Rattus norvegicus: one gene and its partners. The protein of the gene in region 2 binds, or shares a complex with, the protein of the main gene of each other region. Links are inferred from orthologs where the notes say so. Each region holds a gene or a part of one and is shown on either strand. Other genes may lie near its edges.

Region 1 (4,263 bases), on a different chromosome or scaffold from region 2:
TGTTCAGCCAGCCACAGCAGCAGGCAGTCAATCAGATGATGCCTTGCCACCCTGGAAAGTCCACAGAGCCCTAACCAATCACAAAAGCACCCACACCAGCCAACCAATCAAGGGAAAGAAAAGTAAATGTCACCCACCCTACCCTGACAGACTTTAAATTGACCCTACAGAGCACACACCTAGGCTTTCATTTCCAAATGGGGAGACTCTTGCATGCAGGAAATTCTGCTGAATAAACACTCTTTGCTTTTGTATACTATTTGAGTCTGGGGGGTATCATTCTTCTGCTACTCTTGGACCCTAACACTCACAAAAAGGAACTCCTATTTTCTGTTTACATACTGATTTCTGGATAATTGTGATATGAATAATTATTAATTATATGATAATTATGATATGAAGTATTCAAGTACATATAGATTTCCCCTTATACCATTAGTTCTATGCATGCAGAAAACCAGTCCTCCAGATTCCTTCTATAGACCAACTGTACAGAACAAATTTAGATGCTCAATAAGGGATGATTAAATTAGCCTGACCTGATTGGTACAAGCTCAAGACATTTCAAGTTAAGCAAATTTTAAAAGATTTATTAGTTTTACTCATGTGTATGTATATCTGTGCATGCCATGGGAGTGCAAATGCCCACAGAAACCAGAGGAGGAGGATGGATCTTCTGAAGTTGGAGTTGTGAGCCACTTGTTTTGGGTGCTGGGATCTGAATACAGGTTCTCTGGAAAAATCACCAAATGGTCTTAACCACTGAACCACCTCCCTAGACATTCAAGCTAATTTGTTGAAGCTCAGTTTTTTTTTCCTCTGTAAAGTAGGGGTGGTAACTGTATTTCATGGGGTTGTTGGGAGGCCAGCTTGGTCTACAGAGCGATGTCCAAGACAGCTAGGGCTACACAAAGAAACCCTGTATGTAAAGAAACAGAGATTGAATGAAAAATGAAAATGGCAGAAACTGAGCCCCTTGGAGGCAGAGGTTTAGGGTAGGGGCAGCCACTGGTGTGAGACTTAGCCTGGGTTTGAGACCTAACAGAGACAACATGCATAAATTTTCTATCATTTGGAACCTTTACATTCTCTAACTCTTCAATTGTTAGGTACTAATTTGACAATGCTAATTTTTGCCTGCCTCTGGAAAAAGGCCACATCCGTTATTTAAATCTGTGGGCATTTAATTCAGACTGCAGAAGCACACGGATCCACTGTAACGCCCAGGTTCCCACCTTCGAGCTACACCAAAAAGGGAAGCAGGGAATAACTAGGGAACTATTTCGCCCCTGGAGCAAAAGCGTGAGAAAGCGCGTTTGCGTTACTGCGCATGTGCCGAGGCTTAGCGCGCCGGAAGTCCCGCCTCCATTTCCGTTGGCTCCAATCTGAGCTGAGTGTTCGGGTTGCGCGCGCGCTTCGGAGCCTCACCCGGAAGCTGATGTCTTAAGAGCGGAGCGCGAAGATGCGAATATGAAGTAAGGATTTAGTTTCTCTGAGGACAGGGGAGGGAGTTTCTCTGAGGAAGGGAGAATGGATTGAGGAGGGCCGCCCATAAGGGCGGGGACAGGTCCTCGCCTTCAGGGCCTCGGGGCGGGAGACGACCGGTACGTAGAAGGCGGGCTGTGAGGAAATGTACTTAAACGTCTTTCCCTTCTCCCGCACAGCCCTTTAACTAAGGTGAAGCTGATCAACGAACTGAATGAGCGAGAGGTTCAACTTGGGGTGGCAGAAAAGGTGTCTTGGCACTCGGAATACAAAGACAGCGCCTGGATCTTTCTTGGTGAGGTCTACATTTTTCTCTAGCAGTGCCTTTCAGAGTCTGTACCTCCCCTCCCCTCCTCCCCCTTCCTCCTGGTTGTTTAGCGCCCCTGGTCGTCACCTCTGAACACGCTGCTCGTCACCTCACACTCTTGCAGCTAGTCTGCTCACAGGTTCCTTTTTCACTTGGCCCCTATGATACTGCTTAGAAATTGGTATTTGCCATTCATTATATGAAAAATCTTGCCACTTGGTTGCTTAGAGACAGTTAACTCCCCAGGCAACCCATAGTGATGTCAAGGAAACTGAGGCGCACAGGGGTTACTGGGCTTGCTTAAGGTGCTGCATCACTCAAAACTATAGGGCTGTGTTCTTAGTCCTTATTGCATGTCTATTATCTGCCGTTTCTCAGAATTATTTTCCTCTTGTAAGTGGCTGCTTCTCCCAGTTCTTTGTTGTATTGTTAGGTACCAGAACAGACATTAACTGGCTTGGACGACATTGAGGGTTTCTCCTGCTTAACATTTGAAAGGCTATCTGAAAATGTGGAGGGATGTGAGCTTTGTTGTTCATTAAGGGAAAACTACTGATGAAAAGAATACAGTCTGGATTACACCCCTGGCCCTGGGTAGATACCGGGACATTTTCAGGAATCCTAAATGTTACATGCTTGTGTTCCCCTTCCTTAAGACAATCCAACAGGCTTTAAATTTTCTGGCCAGGAGTCACCTGTCAGGAAAGCTCAGTCATCTAAAGACACGCTAAGGACATGGGAGGGAAATGATCCCCAGTGCAGTTGTTACTGGTCTCTGTGTTAAGTCTACCTGTTATTCTGAGTTCTCACTTATCCCCTGCCCTCCCTTTCTGTCCATTCTCTGGATGCTGGCTGGAATCCTGAACATGCTTGCCCGGAACACTTTGGACTGTCTCATTCCAAATCTAAAGGCTCTCCTATCCCCTTGAACCACTCCTCTACCTCCATCTCTGTGCATTGCTGCTTGCTTGACCGCTAATTCAGAAGGCATGGCTGCTTCTTCTGCAGCTCCTTCATCCCAGTAGCTGCTGAAGCTTACAACTTGCTTCCCTATCAGCTCTCTCTCAAATGCTAATAAAATGGACCTCAAGCTTCCTCCTTAGTCTGCTTTAGAATTATATTATCAAGATAAGACATTACTAGCCTTTGTAAAAGGGGAACTCTTAACTCTCTGGTGACAATATTATTATCCTGTATTCACTTTATGTCCCAACCAAAATCCTGCAGTTTACCTTTGGAAAGAGGCTGTTGTAATAGGTATTGTGTTAAGCACTTTATATTCCTCATTTTACTTTATTTCTCTAACACTCCTGTGAGGCAAATATGATACCATCCCATTTTTACACTTGAGGGAAAACATGGAGGGAGGGGAAATTGTTTCCTATGAAATGCTTAATATTATCCCTTATAAATCTTAGCTTGCACATAAGTGAGGGTAATAATAGTATACTTAAACTTGCTGTTTATGAGATTGAGTCTTGTGCAGGAAATCACCTGCTTTATAGGATTTTTGGATGTGAGGATTCAAAGATAAAATTAATTTGGTGAGTGATGACCCCAGCCTTTCCACTCAGAGTTACTATTTTTTTCTCTTTCTCTTCTCTTCTTTTCTTTCCCTCCTTTCCCTTCCTTTTCTCCTTTTTTTCTCTCTCTCCCTCCCTTCCTTCTTCCCTCCCTCCTTCCCTCCTTCCCTCCTTTTCTCTCTCTCTCTCTTCCCCCCTCCCTCCCTCTGTACCTCCCTCTCCCTCTTTCTTCCTTTCTTTCTCTCTTTCTTTGAGGCAGAGTTTTACTATGAAACCACTGTGTAGACCAGGCTTGCCTGGAACTCACAGAGATCTGAGAGTTAATTACTTTCCTTCCGGACTACTGTCACTATACCCACTCATTCTATCATTGGATTAGACTGATATATTTGAGATTGTGGCTTGTTTAATCTGTACCTCCAGTGCCTAGCATGCAGTAAACACTTGCTTAATGTTTGTTGAACCCAAGTGTTTGTTTTCTTCTAGGAGGGCTTCCTTATGAACTGACAGAAGGAGACATCATCTGTGTGTTCTCACAGTAAGTCCTCTGTTGTTACCTATCTCCTGGGTGCATAGAACAGTTTGCTTCCATAGAGTATTTTTGTAACAGCAACAAAGCATTTCAAGCTGGGTGTGGAGTTGTACACCTCTATAAGAGGCTGAGGTAGGAAGATCACTTGGAGTGAGACCCTGCCTCAAAAAGCCATGAAAACCATTTAATTCTAGGCTGAATGACATCCATGCATGGGGAAGGCTAGAGTCTAGCTCAGTCCCAGGTTAGATAAGGTTCCAGAGAATTACCACATGGGAGATCCCAAAGCTTGGATCATTTGAGAGTCTGTCTGAGGGACTTTAGTCCGTTTCTGTCATTTTTACTGAGCTTCGTTCTGCATGGGCTTACATTGGAACAGACAGGCATTCAGGAAGATGCAGTATTGCCCCTTCTCT
Region 2 (3,500 bases):
CCAGAAGTAATCCCACATAGCCACAGCTACAACATTTTTTGACAAGGGTATCAAAAACACATGGAGAACACACACACACACACACACACACACACACACACACACAAACACACACACACCACACACACACACACACACACACACACCACACACCACACACACACAAACACACACACTCAAAATGTACTGAGGACTGTAACAAGCTCTCAGACTACCAGAGGAAAACAGGAAGAACACTTCAAGAGACTAGGCAAAGATCTTTGAAATGGATTGTAAAGGAACAGATTATGATGAGCAAACTGACGAATGGGATCACATGGAACTGAGGAGCTTCTGCACAGCAGCACAGTCAGGAACGTGAGTGAAAGAGCCTGCACAATGGGGGGTCTGTGCCCAATGACACAAATGAGGCCTTCATGTCGAGCATCTACAAAGAACTGCTGAAAGTTACACACTAAAGACAAGTGATCCGGTCAATAAGCAGGCTAACAAGCTGAACAGATCTCAAAGGAAGAAACACATATGGCCAACACAAGTTTGAAAATGTCCAACATCATTAGCAACAGGGAAATGCAAAAGAACAGATTAGGATGCTATCTCACCTCAAACAAATGCAAATTGAAACAACATTGGGATTTCACCTTAGCCCAGAAACAGCAGGATACAGATAAAATCCTGGTTTTACAGGTTGTTTGGTTTATTTTTGAACAGGTGTAACTTTGACTGGCCTGACCTGACCTGGAACTTACTAGGTGGACCAGGCTGGCTAACAGAGATCTCAGCTGCAATGGCTTCTGAATACATTGTTGTTATTCCATTACCAAAAATAACTTAATAGTAGGGCAAAGGCAGGATAAGACCACCTTGATTTGAGATGGGAAAATACTAGAAGTTGTGGTTAAGTATATGAAGTATGTTTTTGTTGACCTGTTATTTCTCTGGATGTAGAGTTTACACTTAAATGCAGTTGGTCCTGACTGAGACAGCCACGAGTCTGTGTGCCTCAGTGTAGTGCACCAGAAGGAAGTAAGGTGCTGGCATATATCGAAAAACTTAGGGAGACTTAAAAATAAAACCACATTCATACACTTTACCATTTCAACTAGGTGGAAACAAAACTCTAAACCAAAACAAGACAGAGAAGCACCTCCTCTCCAATCACTTCTCCAATCACACTGCAGAACAAGAGGGCGCCACGTGAGCCCCGTGTGAGCCCCCGTGTGAGCCCCCGTGTGAGCTGGGCTGACCAGGGAGTTAACTAAGAAAATGCTTACGGCCTTCCAGAAATGATTCTGAGGCCCATCCCACTCCACAAAAAGCTTTCACAAGCTCCTGCAACTGTTAACTTTCTTTTGTGTTTACAGAATGGAAAATAAAGTAAATAACGGGAACGGGGGTTAGACAATCTGATCTCTAACTATTCAGAGCTTTGATCTTGACACACACAACTGAGTGTGGGCAGGCACAGACTCAGTTTTTAATAATCTCACTTTGTGGGCTGGGGATGCGGCAGTGATGGAGCATTTGCCCAACACACAAGTCCCTGAGTTCGGTTCCCAACAAAATTAAGTGATTGATCAAAATCATTCCTTTTATGAATATTTGACTCTGATGTAATCTGCAGTTAGCTGAATTTTAAGAGAAATAATCAATTATAACTGTCAATTTTTGCTTATGCTATTACTACCTAGGGAGCTGGCTTTAAATAGGGAAGGGAGGAAAGACAGTATCCGGAATCAGCTGTCATAGTCTGATTGACTGGACATTTAGCATTTTGTACCTATACTGACATAAAATGTATCTGTTCATTGTTAAGTCAAGGATGACTGTAAAGGGAGCTGGAGAGATGGCTCAGTGGTCAAGAGCACTGACTGCTCTTCCAGAGGGCTTGAGTTCAGTTCCCAGCAACCACATGGTGGCTCTCAACCATCTGAGTGGGATCCGATGTCCTCCCTCTTCCTGCCTGTGTGTCTGAAGAGAGTGACAGTATACTCACATACATAAAATGAAATGACTTAAAAAAAAAAAAGATAGATATTGATCAAATTTGATATTTTAGAAGATAACAAAACCAAATAATTACAAAGTTTTAGTTCCTCCAAATTTCCTATCAAGTTGTTGGTCTCACAATTAATTAAAAACAAAAAAAACAAAAAAAACAAAAAAACAAAAAACCTCACCTCTTTAAGTTTACTCCGAATTAAGTTTGCCGTTGTATTCAAGGAGTCATCCTGCAGATCTACTGTGGGAATACCTGGTAACTTAGGTCCAATCAAAACCTCGTTACTGCTTATGTTTGTTTCAAGAAAAGTTCCAAGTTCACGATCACAGTCTCGCCGTCTTTTCCTCTCCTGCAGCTGTGTTGTCCTAGGCATAAATCTGCCAACTGCCTGTGAAGTAGCAATGGCCTCTTGCACACTAGAGCAAGGGACGGAAGTTTTGTAAGTGTTCATCTGTAGTTTTGGGGGAAAGGCACTGTGGTCACGGTGCTTCTGCAGTTCACCACGGTTCCTAGCACTATTGCAGGAGTCTGACGCTTTGTCCGTGTGCTCCCCAGGTGAACATGGGCTTTTGGAGGCAAAATAGCATAAAGGGAATTCACAAGAGTAAGGAAGACAAGGACTTGAGTTCTCTGAAGGATTCTTGGGAGATGTGTTTAAAGCAGGTGTACAAAATCCAGGCATATGTGCATGGAAGTCTTGTCTAGAATCTTTTGTTCCTTTTTGCTCTGGAACTGGTTTCTTCTTGGTCACATAATAGTCTTTACAGTCATAGTTTTACAAGTTGAGGGAAAGGGAAACAAATCATTAATCATTTTGAACATCCAAAATCTTAAAATTCTAAAAACAAACCTTAAAATGCTAAGAAGCTCTACTCCTAAAATGGTACCTCTAGAGCAGAGAATACAGTGATAAGGCTTAAAGGCTTTTTGAAAGGATTCCATGGGATACTGCCAAGTGTCACCTACTCATCTATCTAGAATGTCTTACTTTTCTCTGGAGCCACTTGAAAAATAATAAAACTTGCTGCTGATCAAAAATTGTTAGTTTCCCATAATGAGCAACATGTAGAACCAGTCTGTAAACCACAATTGCTTCTTGCTGCCTTCATGTTTAAACCCTGGGCCACTTAGCCTGGGACACAAGGCTTCATAATTTGCTTCTTGTCTACTTTCCTAATCTCTCTCACTAAAACCTTGGAACTCTGGTTACTCTGTAGGACTTACAGCTCTTTAAATGTATGGTGGCAATTTATCTGCCTAAGTTTAAACGTAGCCTGGCTTACCTTGCCATCCTTTTACCCTATTTACTACTGAATACCATTTACGACTATTTAACTCTCCCATGCCAGAGGCAATCTCCATGAATCAACATTGCTCCCTTCCCGGCCCAGACTCCACAGTGGGGCACAGACCCCATCAGTTCAAGTCACCGAAGAACGTGACTGAGTAGGAATTCCACAATGACACACATACCTAGCAGTGCCTGACACACAGGAGT
Region 3 (4,015 bases), on a different chromosome or scaffold from region 2:
GGCAGAGGCCCACAGTTCCAGCACTGAGGCGGCTTGAAACAAGCAAACAAATAAACACAAGCTAACCCAAACCCAAACCTAAAACACGTACATCTGTGAGAGGATCGTCAGCATCAAGGTTGGCAGCAGGAATCTGGTCTAAGCGGGGCTTCTTGGACACCGAAGAGGAAGTTGTGTGTTCTGAAGAAAACAAACATTTAGCATATTGAAGTACATACTGGATTTTAAGTAACATTTTAGAAACCTTTGGGCAAAAAGAATCCACACAAAGCACAGTGACAGCAGGGACCCACCCTGTGACGGGCAAGTAAGTCTCTGATAAATACTTGTTGGTTAACATGGGGTGAATTAGTGAGCACGCAGATCACAGCGTCTCAGGAGACTAGCCAATGCTCACATGTGGTAGAAACATAAAAAGGGTAACTGATGCTTCTCTCAAAACTCATCAATTACATGGGGAGTCCCAGACAGAAGGCCTCGGGCGGGTTCCAGCTGCTGTAAAGTCAAAGTCTACTGACAGGAACTGAAAAATGGTTTTAAACACTTCAGGTCACCATGTCTTCAGTACCAATGCATGACAAGATGGGACTGGAATAAACCTCATTATTGTCTCTTATCAAAGAGGTATAGCTCACAACAATGTTAATTGTTTCCAATCACCAGGAAACAGTTTGCATCACATAACTATGTGACACACGAGGGACAGCAGATACCTCGGGTTGGACGGTCCCTATTTTTCTCCCTTGCAGCAGCTCTCTCCCTCTCTTCCAACTCTCTCCTGAAGTCACGGTTGCGAACCTCTTCAGGGGCATCCTGTGTGGTTTGTCTTAAGTAGAAAAACAAAACAAGCCAAAACAGGTCAAAAATGTTGCCCCCAGTTGTCAAGGAAAAGAACCTATATGGCTATAGCAACTTGAGACAATTCAGAATGTAAGTGTCAATCAAGAACAAAACGGAAGAGGACAATATCCCAATCAGAGTGCTATTAATACACTCGTGGGGTTCCGTATCACACAACTTCCTACAGCAGGACGTCTCTTGAAAACAGTCCTCCACTCAGGGCTGTTACAGCAACTCCCATACTCACTCAGAAGACTGAGCTGGTTATCATGACTAGTGAGGGCTTCATCCACACCAGCAATCCCTGCTCAATAGGAACTTATGCTGAAAGACCGTAGAGCACTTTACAACTACAGCAAATAATTGTATTGTAAACTTTTTGAAAGCCTTTTCTTGGAAGATCGGTAACTTAAATACTATTAATTTAGACATGATCATAAGTCATGGTTGGTTCCATTCTGTGAACAGGACAAATGAAAGGCTTCTTACCTGTACTTTATCTTTGTATGAGAGGGAAGGTCTCTGCTTGAATACTGCTTGGAGAGCTGGCTCAAATCACCTTCTCCTTTTCCTCTCCCACCTCTTGCAGGTTCAAAAGTTGGCCTGGCTGCTGTTGTCATCTTCTATTCTTTGACAAACATGGGTTTAATTATACTTTCATTTTATAGATCATTCATAATTACCTGTCCTTAAATCATTCTCAAAACTCTCCCCAGAACTGCTTAAGTAGTTTGCTTCAGTACAAGTCTCTAAAGAGCAGAATCATGAAATTCAGGGTGTTTACTAGATATGCACTGCCAGGCAGCTCTTATTTGATATAAATAACTACTCTGAAGGTCTGAGTCTGTGCTTCTGTTTTAGCTGGGTAGCCCTGCGCAAGTCTCCTAGCTTGATTCTATCACTTGTGGAATGTTGATACTTCTATAGAATTATTATGAGATTTCTGACACGTGATGTCAGATCTTGGACAACAGTGTAGTGTGGCTTTTAAAATAAATGACTTAAATTTTTTTTTTATATCCCACTAGCACTAGGTTCTCTGAGATTTTGTTTTATTTATTTTTTATGATAGGATCTCACAATGTATTTCTGGCTGAATTAGAATTCACAATGCAGATCAAGCTGGCCTAGGACTCTCCAGAGATCTACCAGACTGCCTCTGCACTGCTGGAATTGTCCGGCCAAGATTTGCATTTTTATCAGAAACCTCACACTACAGCAAATGGACCAATAAAAAACAAATTTCTTTTAAAGTTACAGGCAAACTTATTGAGTGTCTTAGAGTTTGTTTAAAACCCAATGACATTTACACTGGCAACATTACCCCAGAATCTTGTTGATTCAATTTCCCTCTAAAGCAGTTACCGCAACATTCGTAAAGCTTTGGTAGGCTGTAACTTAACGCAATCCTAAGAAAATCGGAACTCCACTCAACCAAACATCAAGAACTGGGCATGACTGGGTACTACTCCTGTGATTCCAGAGCTTGGGGGGTGAGAGCAATAGAATCGGGAGTTCCAAGCTAGCCTAGGCTACCAGAGAACCTTTTGCAATTTTTAGCTGTCAAATAAGAATTCCAGCCTAACTACAGGGCTACTAAATCTCCGTTAGCTTAAGCAGCATGCTCAGACAGACCGTGTGGGACGTGGGAGTTTCTACCCCATCCTACCCTCCTTTGCTTTTCTCAGTGTCAGCGGTGCCGCGCCGGTGACCGCCCCGAGCTCGGCTGCAGCTCCCGACCGCCATTCCAGCACCGCGGCCCGGACGATAGTCACGGCTCTCCGACTCCCCGGTGCGGCCCGCACAGGGACCACAAACCACTATGCCCTGCTACTCACTGTGGCGGGGGTTCGACGCAGTGCCTTCAGAAGCTCACTCACGAACCATTGCGACCCTTAACTCCCAGAAATCTCTGCGCAAAACCGGAAGCAAAATGCAGAACTTCCAGTCTCTACACCTGGGACTCAACTAAGACCCGGAAGCAAAATCTTCGCGCTCCCAACGGCTGTGTAGAAGACGCGAACTCCACACCCGGAAGCAAATCCCGAGTTGGTTTTTTTTTTTTTTTTTTTTTTTTTTTTTTTTTTTTAACCGTCTTTTAGAGGCTGACCCAGTGACCAATCCGCAGAGACACGGGAAAAAGATGGAGTGACGTCGCCTAGGGGCGGAGCCAAGGCTGCTTAGGGGGCGGGCGTTTGAAACCGGTGCTTCATAGTCGACCCCAAATATCATCTTGTGCCTTTGAGAACCAATTACTTAATCTCTCTTGCGTCTTTTCCTTTCCCGACCCCCTCCCAGACTCTTTCGCTGCGGTTCTGCGAGGACGGAAGGCGCCAGGAGCCGGTCCGCGTCTCGCAAGCGTTGAGATCTGAGGAGAGCTTGCCAACTGACCGACCCAACGGCTCCTGCTCCTCAGTAGACCCCGCAGCCTAGGGACTAGAGTTGTCACTTAAGTGGATATGAAGAAGGCGCAAATAAGTACGGGGGCAGCCACGAGCTTTCCAAAGGTACCATTCCTGCGAAACCACTGGCCTTGAAGGCAGGGGTTATAGTCGCATTGCTTGTTAAGATATATAAATATATATATATATATACATAGCTATATGCATTAAGCGTTGTAGTGTGAGAGGAGATGCCGTGAGCGTTTACGATAGTGAGAATTTATGGAACAGTGGGCCTAACTGCCAGGAGGAGCACGAGATGGGTAAGATGGCTTCGCCAACGTTGTCTTGGTGTCCATCATTGAGATTTTGGGGACGGCCAATGCTCGATAAAGAGAATTCTGTTCTCCAGTTTATCTCAAGTGGAAGGATCTCCTAAAACTGAACATTTCAGTTCTTCCCTGACCTTCCTTTGGAACTTTTAAATGAAGAAAGAGAATTATAAAAGAACCCCCCCCCAATGTGCCTCCCCTGAAAGTAGAAGGTGAAAAGCTTCGTTTCTTTCTTTTTTTTTTTTTTTTTTTAATTTATGGAAGGTGTGCACCTCTCTCAGCCTCACACAAAGGACGCTGCTATCATATTAGTGGCTCCAACCCAAAGCTGGAGACCCTCTACCTTCCCTCATCACATCCTGTTCACTTGCCATGCTTGCCCAGTATTGTGAAAATTACCCTGAGCTTCCCTTCCCTGTTACTAACCCTCAATTCAGGCCACTGGCATTTTCCTCTTGGATT
Region 4 (3,977 bases), on a different chromosome or scaffold from region 2:
GTCTGTCTTTCCTTCCATTTTTTTCCCTCTGGAGACAGGGCCTCATTGTATAGATCCAGGTGCTTCCCCAGTTCTGGGATTAAAGCTCTCTAGCGGGGTTGGGGATTTAGCTCAGTGGTAGAGCACTTGCCTAGCAATCTCAAGGCCCTGGGTTCGGTCCCCAGCTCCGGAAGAAAAAAAAGAAAAAAAAAGCTCTCTAGTCCCTCTATCTTTCTGCATTATGATTAACTAATCATTTACCAGACTGAGCAACCTGAGAGTAGGAACTGCATCTTGTGCTTCTTTTGTCCCTAACTGTCCCAGCACCCTGTCTGGTAACAGGAGTTGCTCCAATATTTCCAAGAGTTTCACTCTGCCCTTTGCAGTCATGGTTTTGCAACACAGCAGTCTTCCTGCCTTTACTTAAACAAGCCATCTCAAAACCTTTGCCAAAAAATATTAAAGATTTACCAGGAATGTTCTTAAACTTACTTATTAAGGGTCTCACTGTGTAGCCCAGGCTGACCTCAAACGTTTCCCACACACCAAGCAAACAAGTGATACTCCAGCAGACTGCAGCTAGGCACTTCCTAATTCAGTTCAGTCCCCAGAGACTGAGGACTCAATACCACTGGAGTGCCTCTACTTCCAATGACAATTGGAGACTTGGCCACCAGGACTTTGGTTCCACAGACTACATATTGGGGTCCTACTGTTTTAAATATTAAATATTCTCATCAGTTTCAGAGTACAGTTTCATCAGTACAGAGGTGTGATGAGATGGATTTTTGGGTGACCAGTTCCTTTTAATAAAGGCAACAGAAGCTGGAGCATGGTGGAGACCTTAATTCAACTTGGGAGACAGAGGCAGGTGGATCTGTATGACCAGGCCAACCTGGTCTACAGAGCAAGTTCCAGGTCAGTCAAGACTACACAAACAAACACTGTCTCAAAAAACCAAAATCAAACCCAACAACAACAACAACAACAACAACAACAAAAACCCCCCAAACAAAAACCCTTTATAGAAGAGAGGTTCCTGAGCTTAGCCTATTAGTGACAGCATAAGGTATGGATGATCTCTACAGGCACAGACACTGGTACCCAACACCTTCCTCCCCTCTTTGGGTTAGATTCATTTGCTGGGACAGTTCATGATCCTAAAAAGCAAAGTAAAATGAAACAAAACAATCAATCAATAGAACACAGGCCACCAGGTATGTGGATCTCACGGAGGCATTTCCTCAAGGGAGGCTCCTATCTGGGGGATAAATCCAGCTTGTGTCTAGTTGACACACAAAACCAGCTAGTACATTTGGCTTACAATTCCAGGTTACAACCCACTGAGGGATATCAAGGCCGTGAGTGAAATCTCACACACAATCAAAAGCAAGAGTGACTTGCTTTCCTGGAGAGAAGGAAGGAGGGAGGCAAGCAGGCAGGCAAGGCACCAAATAAGATGCTTGCTTGTTGGCAGAGTGGCTTATGCTCATCTAGCTTTCTTAGACCGTTCAGGACCACCTGGTTAGGGAAAGGTGCCGCCCGTAGTGGCTTGGAGCTTCCTGCATCTCTTAGCAAGAAAAACAATCCTCTACAGACATGTCCATAGGCCGATTTGATCTAGGCAATTCTTTTGCCTGATATTGTTTTACCTGGTGTAAAGCAGTTAAAAGCTAACAAGGACAGTGGCTTTTTTTTGTTAAATCCTGGCCTTAAACTATCTTAACGGACCTGGTTGGCCTTAAACCTCAGTGATTTCTCCTGCCTGAACTATTTTCACCTGTGTATCTACTTGTCCATCTTCCCGGTATCAAAAAAATATATTTTATTCTATATATACAACCTATAGGGCAAAGCAGGACAATGAACCTTAATTCCCATAATCAAAATACTTTTAGGATTCATACTGTTATGAGCCAGGAAAAATATTAGAAGTGGGTTTGATAGGCGTTAAGTCAATGTCCTAAAATGAAGACTTCTTTTTTTTTTTTTTTTTTAAACCTTCTTTAAAATCAGACTTTTTTAGCTGAGTTCACAGGGAAAGTTTTTCCACTTGGAGCAGTTATGAGTTACATAACGTTTCGGAGGTCTCCCACTTAGCATCTTAGCTGGGAATACTTTACACACGGTAACCAGGGCAACCAGGAACAGCAAAAGTCGGAGGTGGTTCTATGTACAAAAATTCTAAGGTCCAAAGTTACAGCGCGGAGGAGCGCGCATTTCAGTAAACAGCAGCCCCTACTGCTGTCAATTAAAAAAAAATTGGTCGGTTTTTGGTCGTTTCCAACTCTGCCTTTGGCAAAAATCTTTGTTTCAGAAAAGTGTACTGGAGAAAATAAGAAGCCCAAGGCATACAAGCGGCTGGAAAGCCTCCAATAAATTGGCGAGCTTTGCTCATCAGGAATAAATAAGCCGTTGCTTCGTATCGCAAACACCTCAGCCCGGAGTCCACAGGGCGCTTAATCTGCCGCGCCGCTTACGCGAAGCACACGTGAGCTCCGCAGCGAGGCCACGTCGCGGTTCTAGGTGCGGGGAGGGGGCGAACTCAACCCGGGAAGCCCCTAAGGAAAGACCCCGGCTTCGGTGCGGCCTACTCAGCAAGGAAGCCCGCGAGAGGTTCTAGCTACGGCCTTGGCTAGGCTACTTCTGTGCCCCAGATCAGGTTATAGCCTGAACAGTCCGGAGAGAAAAAGGGAAAAGATGTGTACTCCAGACCCTTCCGTATCGAGGACCCAAATCAACAACCCACCTGGTGAGCGCCATCTTCTTCCGCTTCTTCCTGCGCAGGCCACAGCGTCGCGGGGCTATTCTTGCCCGGGAACGAGGAACCGAATGAAAAATGCTCACTGCGCAGGCGCTCTGACCGAATGGCACTCTGGGTCTTGTAGTTCTTTTAGTGGGAATTGTGGCAGCCTGTCTGTTGAAAATGGGTTAGCCAAGACAATTACCTTAACATTGGAAATACCGAACATCGGTAAACTTTACAGGCAAGAGGGTCTCTGAGTTTAACACATCAGTAGTGACAATAAAAGATATGCTATACAGTCTTAATTTGGGAAACTAATACTATTATCCAATTCCACTATCAGTATGTTCCATGTTAAGAGTATTGAATAGGATACAAAGTCTGGCTGATTGCAACTATAAACCAGCCTCCGTGCTTATAGTTAATAGTTCTGTTAACAGTCATTTATTTAAATTTTGCTTAACGAATTGATTATTTATAAAGCAGTGTGGGGGTGGTGAAAAGAGAGAAGATCCTAGACATTAAGATAAAGGAGTTTAAATGGAACTCAGCAGATGACTTGGAGCCAAAGTACAACTGAGACAGGTGAGAAAGACAATTCTTTCTTCCTGAGATACGGTTTTCCTGGGAAGCCCTAGCTGTCCTGGAAGTGTTTCGATAAACTAGGCTGGGCCTAGATCAGATACTGGCTTGCCTCTACCACACAAGTGTTAGGATTAAAGGTGTTTGCCACTGTGTTCGGCTAAATAAAGATAATTCTTTTTTCTTTTCTTTCCTTTTCTTCAGAGCTGGGGACCAAGGGCCTTGGGCTTGCTAGGCAAAGGCTCTCCCACTGAGCTAACTCCCCAACCACCAATAAAGATAATTCTTAATCTGGCAGCTGTGGCACATTCCATTAATCCCAGAGGCAGATCCTGTGAGTTCAAGGCCAGACTGCTCTACGGGGGAAGTTCTAGGACAGCAAGGCTACACAAAAAACCCTGTATCAAAAGACCAGAAACCAACTGTCTTAATTAGGTTATGCATTTCTGTGAAGAGACACCATGACAATGATAAAGGAAAATATTAAGTGGCCGATGACTTACACATTGAGGAGTACAGCTCATTATCATCATGGGAGCATCTAGGCAGACATGGTGCTGGGGGGAAAGGTGAGAGATCTGCACCCAAAATGGAAGACATCAAGGAGAAACTATACTGTCTAGCCATGGACAGAACTTGAGTATATATGGATTTCCTCAAAGCCCCGCCT

What was found.
Region 1: Rbm48 (region 2) and Rbmx2 share a complex: the UniProt entries of both Homo sapiens proteins name them as parts of the minor spliceosome. The link is inferred for Rattus norvegicus from reciprocal best matches to the Homo sapiens genes RBM48 and RBMX2.
Region 3: Rbm48 (region 2) and Cwc15 share a complex: the UniProt entries of both Homo sapiens proteins name them as parts of the minor spliceosome. The link is inferred for Rattus norvegicus from reciprocal best matches to the Homo sapiens genes RBM48 and CWC15.
Region 4: Rbm48 (region 2) and Snw1 share a complex: the UniProt entries of both Homo sapiens proteins name them as parts of the minor spliceosome. The link is inferred for Rattus norvegicus from reciprocal best matches to the Homo sapiens genes RBM48 and SNW1.

Annotation. Positions count from the first base shown.
Region 1 is NC_086039.1:132,764,932-132,769,194, forward strand, and holds the start of Rbmx2 (RNA-binding motif protein, X-linked 2), read left to right. Parts: upstream 1-1,463; 5' UTR 1,464-1,470; coding exon 1,471-1,475; intron 1,476-1,664; coding exon 1,665-1,780; intron 1,781-3,801; coding exon 3,802-3,853; intron 3,854-4,263. UniProt on the Homo sapiens protein: Involved in pre-mRNA splicing as component of the activated spliceosome. As a component of the minor spliceosome, involved in the splicing of U12-type introns in pre-mRNAs.
Region 2 is NC_086022.1:31,516,894-31,520,393, reverse strand, and holds part of Rbm48 (RNA-binding protein 48), read right to left. Parts: intron 2,762-3,500; coding exon 2,181-2,761; intron 1-2,180. UniProt on the Homo sapiens protein: As a component of the minor spliceosome, involved in the splicing of U12-type introns in pre-mRNAs.
Region 3 is NC_086026.1:19,585,701-19,589,715, reverse strand, and holds the start of Cwc15 (spliceosome-associated protein CWC15 homolog), read right to left. Parts: upstream 2,801-4,015; 5' UTR 2,679-2,800; exon of another isoform or gene 2,510-2,678; intron 1,469-2,509; exon of another isoform or gene 1,464-1,468; 5' UTR 1,461-1,463; coding exon 1,330-1,460; intron 827-1,329; coding exon 714-826; intron 181-713; coding exon 92-180; intron 1-91. UniProt on the Homo sapiens protein: Involved in pre-mRNA splicing as component of the spliceosome. Component of the PRP19-CDC5L complex that forms an integral part of the spliceosome and is required for activating pre-mRNA splicing.
Region 4 is NC_086024.1:112,847,660-112,851,636, forward strand, and holds the start of Snw1 (SNW domain-containing protein 1), read right to left. Parts: upstream 2,801-3,977; 5' UTR 2,743-2,800; coding exon 2,729-2,742; exon of another isoform or gene 1-2,728. UniProt on the Homo sapiens protein: Involved in pre-mRNA splicing as component of the spliceosome. As a component of the minor spliceosome, involved in the splicing of U12-type introns in pre-mRNAs.